Linked DNA regions of Caenorhabditis elegans. The protein of the gene in region 2 purifies or fractionates together with the protein of the main gene of each other region. This does not show direct contact. Each region holds a gene or a part of one and is shown on either strand. Other genes may lie near its edges.

Evidence for each region. Proteins that work in one complex are often made in the same cells at the same time.
Region 1: the proteins of lec-10 (region 2) and K01A2.5 fractionate together in Caenorhabditis elegans (co-fractionation; one large-scale study listed by BioGRID). This does not show direct contact.
Region 3: the proteins of lec-10 (region 2) and H39E23.2 fractionate together in Caenorhabditis elegans (co-fractionation; one large-scale study listed by BioGRID). This does not show direct contact.

Annotation. Positions count from the first base shown.
Region 1 is NC_003280.10:300,623-304,815, forward strand, and holds K01A2.5 (AB hydrolase-1 domain-containing protein), read left to right. Parts: upstream 1-1,782; 5' UTR 1,783-1,792; coding exon 1,793-2,074; intron 2,075-2,133; coding exon 2,134-2,287; intron 2,288-2,498; coding exon 2,499-2,610; intron 2,611-2,730; coding exon 2,731-2,980; 3' UTR 2,981-3,037; downstream 3,038-4,193. Other genes in the region: K01A2.6 (AMIN domain-containing protein), read left to right, coding at 44-145; col-69 (Nematode cuticle collagen N-terminal domain-containing protein), read right to left, coding at 3,302-3,474, 3,562-4,185.
Region 2 is NC_003283.11:6,487,173-6,491,150, reverse strand, and holds lec-10 (Galectin), read left to right. Parts: upstream 1-2,030; 5' UTR 2,031-2,139; coding exon 2,140-2,160; intron 2,161-2,227; coding exon 2,228-2,509; intron 2,510-2,557; coding exon 2,558-2,833; 3' UTR 2,834-2,948; downstream 2,949-3,978. Other genes in the region: cpt-6 (Choline/carnitine acyltransferase domain-containing protein), read left to right, coding at 1-296, 344-532, 708-941; Nuclear migration protein unc-83, read right to left, coding at 3,803-3,978.
Region 3 is NC_003283.11:14,108,570-14,113,202, forward strand, and holds H39E23.2 (T20D4.11-like domain-containing protein), read left to right. Parts: upstream 1-1,772; 5' UTR 1,773-1,791; coding exon 1,792-1,965; intron 1,966-2,225; coding exon 2,226-2,330; intron 2,331-2,551; coding exon 2,552-2,728; intron 2,729-3,184; coding exon 3,185-3,292; intron 3,293-3,338; coding exon 3,339-3,458; 3' UTR 3,459-3,477; downstream 3,478-4,633. Other genes in the region: H39E23.3 (Neurofilament heavy polypeptide-like), read left to right, coding at 1-1,482; Serine/threonine-protein kinase par-1, read right to left, coding at 4,233-4,346, 4,397-4,514.

The DNA.
Region 1 (4,193 bases), on a different chromosome or scaffold from region 2:
AAGGTGATGCTAAAAAAATTGTTCAATCAATCCAATCTTCCAGGGAACAGCGCAACAACTACCTGTATTTCATGATCAAAACTTTGATAGAGTCCCTGTGCAAGTTGTCAACCGGCAGGACCCCAATGAACACTGCGACACATAGTACCCTGCGACAGTATATAGAAGAATCCTAAGACGAGCTAGAGTATTCAGAGATCGACAAGGACAGCTCACGGATCAATGGGAGCCGCTTGGAGATCCAGTGGAAGTGGAGTCTTGGACATTGACACGGAAACAAGGGAATACTGGAAAATGAGAAAATCGTCTTCAAGTTTTTCTCTAATATTGTAATTTTCAAGTTTTATTGATTAAATTTGGTTCATAAAAATTTATTTGTGTTCGACAACATGGGTGAAGCCGCATTGTTCCAGATGTGTAAAACTGTGTTGTCCTAAAAGATCAAAGACCCAAGCTTGACAAATCTGAAAAAAATGCTTTCAGCACTCCCCGCAAAATCACATGATTCGATCATCAATTTCCTCTTTGCGGTTTTATACAATACCTTCAGACAATAGGAACAATTTTCTGTCTCTTCCATATCCCTTTTCCCTTTCATTTCCCATTTATTTCCCTCTGTGTGTCCAAGTGCCTGTGTTCTTCTCCTTCTTCTTTCATCTTAACAACATCTTCCTCCGACTGCGTTTGTACACTTTCACCTGTTATTCCCTATTTACCCTCATATCCTAGATTGAAATCTGCATACTCTCCCAGTATAAATCAAAAGGTTTACTTTACTGTTTCATAGTTCCTTTTTATTAGAAACTACACATTTATATTACAAATAACTAGATGTTTCGGTGTTTTAGTGGTTATGTTTTTTTTAATAATTTTTATTACCTTTCTAGAATCTTCCAAAATTTTCTCGAATTATTCTGAAGGTTCCAGAACCTTCCAAAATTTTCTCGTATTTTCCAGATAGTTCTAGAACATTCCGGAATTCTATCTAATTTTTCAGAAGGTTTTAGAACATTCCAAAACTTTCTCGTATTTTCCAGATGGTTCTAGAACTTTCCGCAGCTTACAGGCACAAAATTAATCCGGTCTTGTCCAAATTCCTTCTGAAATCTTAATCTGTAGGCTACAAATTTCTCATTCCTATCGGACTTTCAAAATCTTTTTCGTAGAACTATTCGTCATTCAAATACATGCACTTTTAAAATTTCCTCTTTGGTTTTCCTTCCTCTTTAGCCTATTTCACCGAATTTTTGAGATCAATAATTCCATGTGTCCGATTTTCGAATAATTTAATATTCACTATCAGTTTTCACGTATCATAATTCTGGAAGTCGATCAAAAAACAATGTTTTGTACTCTACATTTCTGTATTTAAATATTGTAGAGGTTCACAATACATGTTCTCGCTCTTCAGAAAATTCCGAATTCTATAAATGTCGCGGAACCATAATTATTTGGCCTAAACCGATTTCAAATACCTATGTTAATTCTAGGTCAATCCGGTGGTTGTAAATCATCGACAATAACAATATATACGACCTACTGTACTAGTAGGTTGTAAATACTGTAGTACTACCACACCACAAGAGGCGTTCTCTTAGCAATACATTTGAACCTTGACCCTTGTTACGTCTCTTTCTAGGATAGAAGAAATCGGGGAGATGTACTTCAAAGGTGTGCGGTCTCAAAGGTCACAAAGGTGTCTCAAACATTTATATTATCCGGAAAATTTCCTCACCGTCGCTACCTCATAATTAACAAATTAAACACCTAAATAAATTTCAGCAAAAGAAAAATGACTCAAAGCGACTATATCGAAAGTTCGGAACACATCAAGGACACTCAAATCGGTTACTGTAAATACGGCCACGGTCCGAACTACATTCTCGCGATTTGCGGTGCTGTCGGCTGCTATAAAAAAGATTGGCCACTCAAATTGCTCTCTCATTTCCCACCAGATCAGGTCACAATTGTTGGGATTGATCCTCCAGGTTACGGTACCTCAAGACCTCCAGAGCGAAAACAAGAAGTTCAGAGATGTATGAAGGATAGTGAATATTGCCTAGGGTTAATGGAGGTGAGCTTTTAATTTTGAAATTAAAATTTTTACGTTTTCAAAAAGCCTCCAAATTTTAGACCCTGAAACTAGAGCCGTTCACCGTGATGGGGTGGTCAGAAGGTGCTAGAACAACGGTCCACGTGGCAGCTAAAGGAAAGGAAAAAGTGAATCGAATGATTGTAATGGCTGGTGCAACAAAAGTTAATCATCTAGGAGCCATGGCTTTCAAGGGTGAGATATTTAGATATATTTGGAAGATTACTGTTTTTTAATGAAATTTCTTAATTTGACACCAATATGGCCCATTTTTCCACATAGAAGCAGCAATTTATGCCTACCTACCTACAAGATTTTTTATGGGAAAATAAATCGAACGTCCATTTTATGGGTGTGGCCATCTATTGGTTTTGTGCTCTTTATAAATTAATTTTTGGAATTTCAGGAATGCGTGAAACAAATCATTGGCTAGCAGCCGGTCGTCAACCATATTTGGACCATTATTCGCCGGAAACACTCCGGACACAATGGGCGGCACTTTGTGACGTCGTAGATCAGTGAGTTTTGTGGGCGGGGCTTATGCGAAGTTGTGTATATTCCTGTAGGCACAAATATGTCTGCCAACTACCTTCAAGGCGACCTACGTCTGCTTCCTACCTAACCAAACGAATTTTCAGAGTTCACTCGTTCTGCGGTGGCCGTTTCCCGTGTGACCTGGTACTTCCACAAGTCAAATGCCCGACACTAGTGATGAATGGTGGATTGGACCGGTTCTGTGGTGACCCGAATGTATGCTTCATCCCAGTGCTCAAGAGTTTGGCAAAAGTTGAGATTCATGCACAAGGAGGACACGATTTTTATTTGAAATATCCCAAATGGTTTTCCGGAAAGGTTCTGGAATTCTTGAAGAGCACGGAGAAGAAATGATAAATATATGAAATTTGTATTTTGTATTTTGTGAAGAATAAAGTTTATAAAAAATTCGTCCTGGTCTCAAGCAATTTCGCTATTACACTCATAAGCTCCACCCACAAAATGACTGATTTCATTAGGAATTTTGCCAAAAGAAAATTTCAGAAAAAATTCTAAAATTTCCAGAAAAAAAATCTTCCCGTTCACAAAGGGTTTCTGTCCGAGCCTTGTGGGCGGGGCCCATGCGAAGCCCAATTAAAATTTTTGGGACAGTATACTTTCTGGAAACGTCCGTGAAAAAGTTTATACAAATTTATTTCACAAAAATAAAAATAATTACGGACTAGCGTGACTAACAGGCTTCCGGCGAACATTCTTTGCTCTTGTCGCCAAAAGTAGTCGTCTCTGCTTCTTGAGCACTCGAGCCAGCACTCGTTTCCTGTACTCATCCTCTTTATTGTACTCTGACACGTAACGGCTTTGGGATGCTGTGGCGTAGCTTGTGGACACTGTAAAAAATATGTTGAAATTTGAAATTTGAGTTTTTTTAGGCCGTAATATCAGCCCCGCCTACTTAATGGAAAAAAGTAGCCTACCTGGTGCCGGCTGCACATAACTATTCCGATTGACTCCTGCGTTCTTTGGTGGACACGGACAATATTCAGCATCCTGCCCCGGTGGCCCACGAACTCCTGGATAGCCAGTAACTCCAGGTACCCCTGGTTCTCCATCCTGTCCAGCTTCTCCCTGAACTCCAGGTGTTCCTGGTGGTCCTGGAGGCGGTGTATATCCAGGTGGCCCTGGTGGTCCGCATTGACCAGGAAGTCCTGGAGGGCCTTTACGGCCTGGTAGGGATATCTGACGGATCGAGTTATTTCCAGGCTCTCCCTTAAGGCCTGGTGTACCATTGGGACCTTCCCGTCCAGCTTCACCACAAGGCCCCGGTGGCCCAGGAAGTCCTGGAGGAGAGGTGTATCCGGGATTCCCTGGGAGCCCGGGAATTCCAGAAGGTCCACAAGGCCCAACGGCACCAGGAGGACCTTGTGGACCCTGGGGACATTGTATGCAACCTGGAATCTCTTGATCGTAAGCTATAAGGGTTACACCATTGGCTCCTGGACGTCCATCGAGACCCCGAGAGCCCGGTTCTCCAGGAGCTCCAGGGTAACCAGTGGGGCCTTGTGGTCCTGGTGGACAATTGTTGGCTTGTGGGGCACAATCTGAAAAT
Region 2 (3,978 bases):
TCTCCGAGATCACTCGCTGCTACGATGCTCATCAAATCGCCAAGAATGACCTTGACCTGTATGCCCTTGCATTCCGTGATTTTGGAAAAGGACGTATCAAGAAGTGTGGTGTCTCACCAGATGCATTCATTCAAATGGCTATTCAACTTGCCAACTATCGAGATCAAGGCAAATTTGTGCTCACATATGAACCAGCATCAGCTCGATTCTTTGCAAACTCGAGGACCGAAACTTTGAGAACAGTTAACGATCACTCTTGTGAATTTGTGGAAGCTATGTTGAATGCAAATGAAACGGTAAGTTAATTTGAAGTTATTAAGACGATGAAAAATTCAAATTTCAGAAAGAAGCCAAGATTGCTCTTTTGAAAAAAGCTTGTGAAACTCATGTTCTTCGAAACAAGAAGTGTATGGTTGGGCAAGGAGTCGATCGTCATCTCTTTGTTCTGTATATTTTATCTCAAGGAACGGGGATTCAGAGTCCTTTCCTTGACAATTATATTAATCAAAAGTGGAAGCTATCTACCTCACATGTGAGTAATCATTAAAATAAGATGACATAGTGCTATGTATTTGGCAGTTGTATCACGTAACTTTCTAATAATGAGCTGAAGGATTTTAATTCAAACATTTTTCAACAATTGCTTTTTCTGGATTTTCCTAATTATTTTTTTTTTAACTTTACAATTTGAACATATCCTATTCCAGGTTCCAAACGTGACTAATCAATGCGACGAGGACACTGATTCAGACAACACTTGGCTCGGAGCATGCTTCGGAGCAGTCGCTGCTGATGGCTACGGAATCTGCTATCGCTTTGGAGGAAACCACGGAATCTTTGCAAACATCACAAGTTATCATTCCGCTGCCAACACTGATTCAACAAAGTTTGCAAAGTTGCTCTCCGAATCGTTCCACGAACTTTCAAACCTTTTCGTTTGAACCATCCCATTTTGTAACAAACGGTTTTATACCCATAACTTGTACCAATTTGAACTCATTCTGCACTATCATTCTAACCTGTTTCATATATTACTGTCACTCAGTCAATAAAATAATTTTTATTAAATAAAAAATTCTCTCGTGTATGACCCATTCAAAAATCACCTGAAATGACTCATGACCAGTTCACGATCTATGCTCAATTCTTGGTGTACACCAGACTATGACTCATGTAAAACTGGTGAAATGTCAAACAGAGTTTCCGATCAAAAATGGCAATTGTACGAGAATTTCATTTTTGATAGCATCACGTTGTGTGTGCCGATGGAAAGATGATTTTAGCACAAAAACTGCAAAAAACGGTTTTTATAGTGCACCAAAAAAGATGGAAAAAGATCTGAAAATGAATGAAATTGAAACTTAAATCTCTTAAGATTAAATATGAAATTTTGCCAATCTTTTCGGTAGGTTTTTGAAATCATGGAAACAGTTCTGGAAAGTTTGCAAACTTGACTATTTGTTTAGCTGACAAATTGTTGATGTGACTTGAATTCGCACCCTTTTCTAGATGAACTAATCCAAATTAACAAACGTAACGAAACATTTTCGAGGACAACAATCCTTTCATATTCATAACTACAGAAATCTGAACACCTTTTCAAAACATTATTTAACATCTAATTTTTTAAAATTCGTGGCATTTGTATGTAGAATTATGTTGTAAAATGATGTAATGATAGTGAGAAATCATTTAGATCTGTAACCTAAATACAATTTTTATACCCTCTATTAGACAAAACTTGATATTTAAAACTTTTTGTATTTCCAAAATGATGTTCCGTCATGCTGAAAAACAAAATAAACCAACAAAAAATTATGCTTCGAGCTGATTACTTGCAAATTATTAACAGAAACATTTCATTCCTAATCAGACGCAACGATTGAATTTGATTTTTCTTCCCCATCAGTTGAGTAATTACATCCTCTTTCATTGAATTCCAACTTTTAGTCTTATTCAGTTCTTTATTTGCCATTGATTTCCCAAATGTAGAAGTGTGTCTGATACCTCCCATTGATTCTTAGTCTTTAAGCAAATAAAACTCGCCTGATGTCATAGAAATATCGATAAGAGTTTGAATAAAAGTCGTGGCATTTCCTCACTTCTCTATCGGTTCAATCGGTCTTACTATCAACTAACATGCACTCCTATCACAACCCCGTGAGTTTTTGATTTTCTAGAATTTTCCAGTTTGGAAACTTCAAGTTTTCAATAAACCAAATTTCAGGGTGTCCCAACCGCTCTCTCGATCTTCGAGCCACTTCAAGATGGATCCACCATCTCTGTTCACGGACATGTTCGTCACGGACATCACAAGAACTTTGCCGTCGAGCTTTTGAGCGGACCAAATGTTGTTCTTCATGTCAACTTCCGTTTCCATCATGAACACGTCGTTGTCATGAACTCCCAGTTCAGTGGAATGTGGGGACCAGAAATCCGTCACAAAAACCCACTTCACCACTCGGAGCACTTCCACCTTAGCATCAAGGTTCACGCTGGATATTACCATGTAAGTTTTAACGTATTTAATTTTATAGTTAACTGTATTCAATTTCAGATCTCTGTGAACGGTCATCACCTCGCCGACTACCCACATCGTTACCCATACCAATCGGTTCAAGCCATCGGATTGAAGGGAGACGTTCATGTTGACAAGGTTCACTTCGAAGGATTCCACTTCCAACGTCGTTGGGACGGACATGTCGATCATGGACACTCTGGATACAATGCCTATGGAACTGAAACCTATGTTGCTCCAGTGTTTGTTCAGCCAAACTTTATGCCATACGGAGCACCACCACCACCAGTCCAAAACTTCAACCCATACAGATAAATCGGGGATCTTATTTTTTTAATGTATTTTTTGGAATTTTCGACGTTAATTGTCAAGTTGTTTTATAAATTTTGCATGTCTTATGAGTTTTTGTTGATAAAAAATGTTTAAATTTAAAAATCGCTAATGCTCAGAAGCCTTTGCTCTCCATTTTCTTTCAAACGTTCGCAAAGAAAACTGAATTTTAAAACAGTAAGTCAATATTATATTTTTTTTATGTCTGCGTGCCTGCCTCATACCTACTCGCCTACCACTTAATTTATTAATTTGGGAATTGAATAACTATATTCAGATGCTTGCAAAGTGTAGAATTAGTTTTCTGGAAGTTCAACTGGAAATCTATGAAGAATATTTATGTGTATTTTGGCAGGAGGCATGAAGGCCGCCTATTAGGCAGTCAGTCAGGGGGTCTTTTTTTTCATGATACACATGTGTTTGGCATATATTAATTTTTATTAACGAATGCACATAAATCAAATTTCAAAACAAAATAGGATAAAACCAAAAGGTAGTTCGTAAATAAAATAACTGACATCAAAAGTGGATTCTCTTTTCAGATGAGAATATTCAGATAACATTTTTTGTCAAATAAATCATCATATATACAGGAAAGTCACCGATTTAAGTGGAGATATAAAATATTCTCAATATGAGTGGAGAAACAAAAAAGAGAGAGAATGAAACAAATACCTGAACACGGAGATTTTTTTGGGGGGAAAGTTTGGAAGATTTTCGGATATTCGAAAGAAACTGTAGGGTAAGTGATTAATATTGAGTATCTAGTCCTACATTTCTATTTTTAAAAAACAATTTTTTTCTTTTTTGAAATTAAATGTTTAATTTCAGAAATTTAAAATATAAAAACAATCAATCGAATCTACTGGTTTAATTTTGTACCTACCCGGGTCAGAGATTACAACATAAAAATAGAAACAAAAAGGGATTTCAATCAGAATACTGATGATTCAGTTAAACCGGTGGTGGTCCATTCACATAGGTTACATGCGGACCAAATGGTTTTCCGAACACGTGATAATAGAAAATCGCTGCGAGCGCTGCCAGAAGAGAAAGGGCAAATGTGAATTTGATGAGACGAGATGAAGAGATTGCCTCCGCAATTGTGAGTGGCTCATTTTCAGTTTCCG
Region 3 (4,633 bases), 7.6 Mb from region 2:
CCAAAGACTGAATCTGCTGATTCTGAGAAGAAGGCCCCAGCCAAGAGAGAATCTGATAAGCCAAAGACTGAATCTGCTGATTCTGAGAAGAAGGCCCCAGTCAAGAGAGAAGCTGATAAGCCAAAGACTGAATCTGCTGATTCCGAGAAGAAGGCCCCAGCCAAGAGAGAATCTGATAAGCCAAAGACTGAATCTGCTGATTCTGAGAAGAAGGCCCCAGTCAAGAGAGAAGCTGATAAGCCAAAGACTGAATCTGCTGATTCCGAGAAGAAGGCCCCAACCAAGAGAGAAGCTGATCCACCAAAGACTGAATCTGCTGATTCCGAGAAGAAGGCCCCAGCCAAGAGAGAAGCTGATAAGCCAAAGACTGAATCTGCTGATTCCGAGAAGAAGGCTTCAGCCAAGAGAGAAGCTGATAAGCCAAAGACTGAATCTGCTGATTCTGAGAAGAAGGCCCCAGTCAAGAGAGAAGCTGATAAGCCAAAGACTGAATCTGCTGATTCTGAGAAGAAGGCCCCAGTCAAGAGAGAAGCTGATCCGCCAAAGACTGAATCTGCTGATTCCGAGAAGAAGGCCCCAACCAAGAGAGAAGCTGATCCACCAAAGACTGAATCTGCTGATTCCGAGAAGAAGGCCCCAGCCAAGAGAGAAGCTGATCCACCAAAGACTGAATCTGCTGATTCCGAGAAGAAGGCCCCAGCCAAGAGAGAAGCTGATCCGCCAAAGACTGAATCTGCTGATTCCGAGAAGAAGGCCCCAGCCAAGAGAGAAGCTGATCCACCAAAGACTGAATCTGCTGATTCTGAGAAGAAGGCCCCAGTCAAGAGAGAAGCTGATAAGCCAAAGACTGAATCTGCTGATTCCGAGAAGAAGGCCCCAGCCAAGAGAGAAGCTGATCCACCAAAGACTGAATCTGCTGATTCCGAGAAAAATGCCCCAGCCAAGAGAGAAGCTGATAAGCCAAAGACTGAATCTGCTGATTCCGAGAAGAAGGCCCCAGCCAAGAGAGAAGCTGATCCACCAAAGACTGAATCTGCTGATTCCGAGAAGAAGGCCCCAGCCAAGAGAGAAGCTGATCCGCCAAAGACTGAATCTGCTGATTCCGAGAAGAAGGCCCCAGCCAAGAGAGAAGCTGATCCACCAAAGACTGAATCTGCTGATTCTGAGAAGAAGGCCCCAGTCAAGAGAGAAGCTGATAAGCCAAAGACTGAATCTGCTGATTCCGAGAAGAAGGCCCCAGCCAAGAGAGAAGCTGATCCACCAAAGACTGAATCTGCTGATTCCGAGAAAAATGCCCCAGCCAAGAGAGAAGCTGATAAGCCAAAGACTGAATCTGCTGATTCCGAGAAGAAGGCTTCAGCCAAGAGAGAAGCTGATCCACCAAAGACTGAATCTGCTGATTCTGAGAAGAAGGCCCCAGTCAAGAGAGAAGCTGATAAGCCAAAGACTGAATCTGCTGACAAGGTTCCACTACCACATTAACTCGATATGGAACTTCGACGAGAAAGTATCTTTTGAATTAATAAAAACATGTATGAAATGTTATTGTGCATATAGTTCTGTAATAAACTCATTTTTCACAACTACGTTGTAGTGTTTTCGAAAAATACAAACAAACTAAATTGAAAATAGCTTTTTAATCTATGTTCTCCATTGCTCAGGTTCATTTTCAGTCAGATTCATCATGCTGTTTACATCAAATTTTCAAGAAAACAGCTGTTCTTAACATTTGATTTCCAATCTTTTGGCATCCGATTTCTCCACTCTCCTCGAAGATTTCATATTCAAAAAATGAAGTTTTCATCAACTATTATATTTCTTATTTTTTTACTTGTGCCCTCTTTGAAATGTGCATTCCGGACTGGACATAGACATGACTGGTATGAAAAGAATCGTCTGAAAGTTTCCTGTTTGCAACAGGATGATCCAGTTGGAAGGAATGCAGTTAGTCGGTGCTGGTTCTGGGTTCGTTCTCCATTTGACAATAGAAATAGTTATGAATCTTTCAAATTTTGTTGCGAGAGAATTGAATTACATCAACAATATCGCTAGTTTTGAGCTTCAAAAGTTCAAAATTGCAATTTCGTGTTAACTGTTGTAAGTGTATCGCTGTTGTAACACAACACCCTACATACAGTAATTTAAAAGTAATCTAACTAAATTAAATTCGACCCATAATTATTAAAACAAACAATTCAAAAAGCTCTATAATTTCCATTTTCCAGGAAGGAATGAAATCATGGTTCCGAAGAACATCGATCTCTTGGTATCCCGAACAAACGAAAACGTGGAATATGACAGAATTGACAGCACATTGTGATAAGTATTATGTAAGGTCATGAGTACTTTTCTGGAACCTTATTCTGATGAAAATTGAAATGTTATTGATGAAGTACCGAAATAAATTAACCGCTCCGCGGTTTTTGCACCGACATTAGAAGATATTGTTTTTTTAACAAAGCAATCGTATAAGTACGGAAATTCAACAATGTTTTTGGCTAATTTAAAATGATTGAACAACTAATTTAAATTGAGTCACGTCTTATTTCAGACCTGTATGGAAAATACAAAATGCTACAAGGACTTTGTCCTATTTGAGACATTGGATAGATGCTCTCATGATGCATTCAATATTGGTCCAATGAGCTTTTGCTATTCTACTTTAAGAGATGTTGCAAAGAATTTCCCAGACAAGTTATCGTCTTGCGTGAAGGAACACTTGGATGCGGTGAGTGCATTTATCTGAGTGGGTCTCACCACGATTTGTGCCTAATTTTAGATACTTGCGTAGTTGATGTGGAAAGTGGAGTTTTTGAAATGTCAATTTCTGAAATGTACAGAGAAAACATGAATTTATTATGGAATATTTATCACTTACTGTCACGTTTCCGCAAACGGACGATATTGTAATTTTTCCATTTTCTGATATTTGCACTTAAAAACACACCGATTTATTCGGTAGGTTCTCGCCGCGAGAAAAAATTTGTTATTTGAAATTTTTCTCGTGGCGAGACCCATCCAAATAAACCTGTGCGCCTTCAATTACTCATCACGGTATTTTGAAAATGTTTAATAGTAATTTGTGTATTTTTGTGAAATTCGCAGAATTGAGATCGTGGTGAGACCCAATGAAGCCCCACATTTTCCCAAATTTAAAAAAGCAATTGTAACGTCCTATTTTCAGACTCCGACAAGGAAATGGACTTGCGAGATAGCCCAGGATTTAGGAAATTGTCTTCTACCGGACGTTAAAAATTACTGTGAACCGAATTTTCTACCGATATTTAAAGAGGTTTCCAATATATTTATTCTACATTTAAAATTAAAATCCGTTCCAGCATCAAGATTCTCGTATGTTCAATTTGGGTTGCGATGGGCGATTGAAGTTCAAAGACATGGAAGATTTGAAGGATCACAATGCGACGGATCTAGTTGGAAGTTCTGTAGAAATAGAATAATAAACATTTAATAATTTACAATTCTTCATTTGATCATCACAGAGGGCGCAAGGAAAACAAATGTTTCGGAGACAAGGGAAAATGTTGTGAGGGTTGTATGGAGAATTATATGGGGACAGGGGGGACTACGGTAAGTTATGGGTAGTCTGGGGTGGGAAGGGAGAAAAATAAAATATGAAAAAAGAAAAGGAAGAAAAAACGCGATGAATACCCTAAAAGACACATAGAAAAAAAATTTAAAAAAAGAAGAGTAGTCAATAATCGAATAATAATTATAATAATATTTAAATCAATGGGATATCGAGAAAACTTATAAGATAAGATGGATTGGTTATATCATCGGGGGGAAGGCGCGAAATATGAAACGATGGGTTTGAAAAAGAAAAATGCAATTTGAAGCGGCGACGACGATGAAGACACAAAAATAGAGGTTTTATAAAACAAGGATACGGTAGGGGGACGGGGGGAGCAATCACCTACAACGATGAATTTGAAAATATCCAAAAAAAAAAGAGAAAACCGTACTGGAAGAGGGGGATTGTTGAATTGGGAGGAGGAGACGAATTGAACAGAAGTTAATTTCAGCAATTTTTCACTGAAATCGCTGCTTTTTTCATAAATTTCTGAATTTCAGTTTACAATGACTGATGATGTGTTGGGTGACGAGAGAAGCGAGAATATCGAGACATGGATAAAAACGTGAGGCGGTTAGAGAGAGAGAGTGAAGGGGCGACAAATGAAACATGAAAAGAACAATCATCAATAGGTTCAGCTCTAAAGGTTCAGCTCTTGGGCTATTTTCGAAGCGATATTCTTGAAGCCAATCGATGTTCCCGAGATTCGTTTGAATCGAACTCCATTCAGACTGAGACGTGGCAACTTGCAGACCTGAAAACATTTAGAATTAACTACAGTAACCAGATAGCTGGTGTACTCACCTCCATCTCCCATTGAACAAGTGAGTCTGTATTCGGATCACCGTGCACACACAGAATCATGTATCGTTCCCGTTGCTCGTAGTCACAACCGTTAGCGTCAAGAACTTTTCGAATTTCTCTGAAAAAACGTTATAAGTATATCGAAAACTAGAGTTCGAGAAATCTAAAATTTTCGTTTTTTATTTATTTTTTGAATTTTAGATTCTCCAAAAATCGACAAATTTTTTTTCGATATTT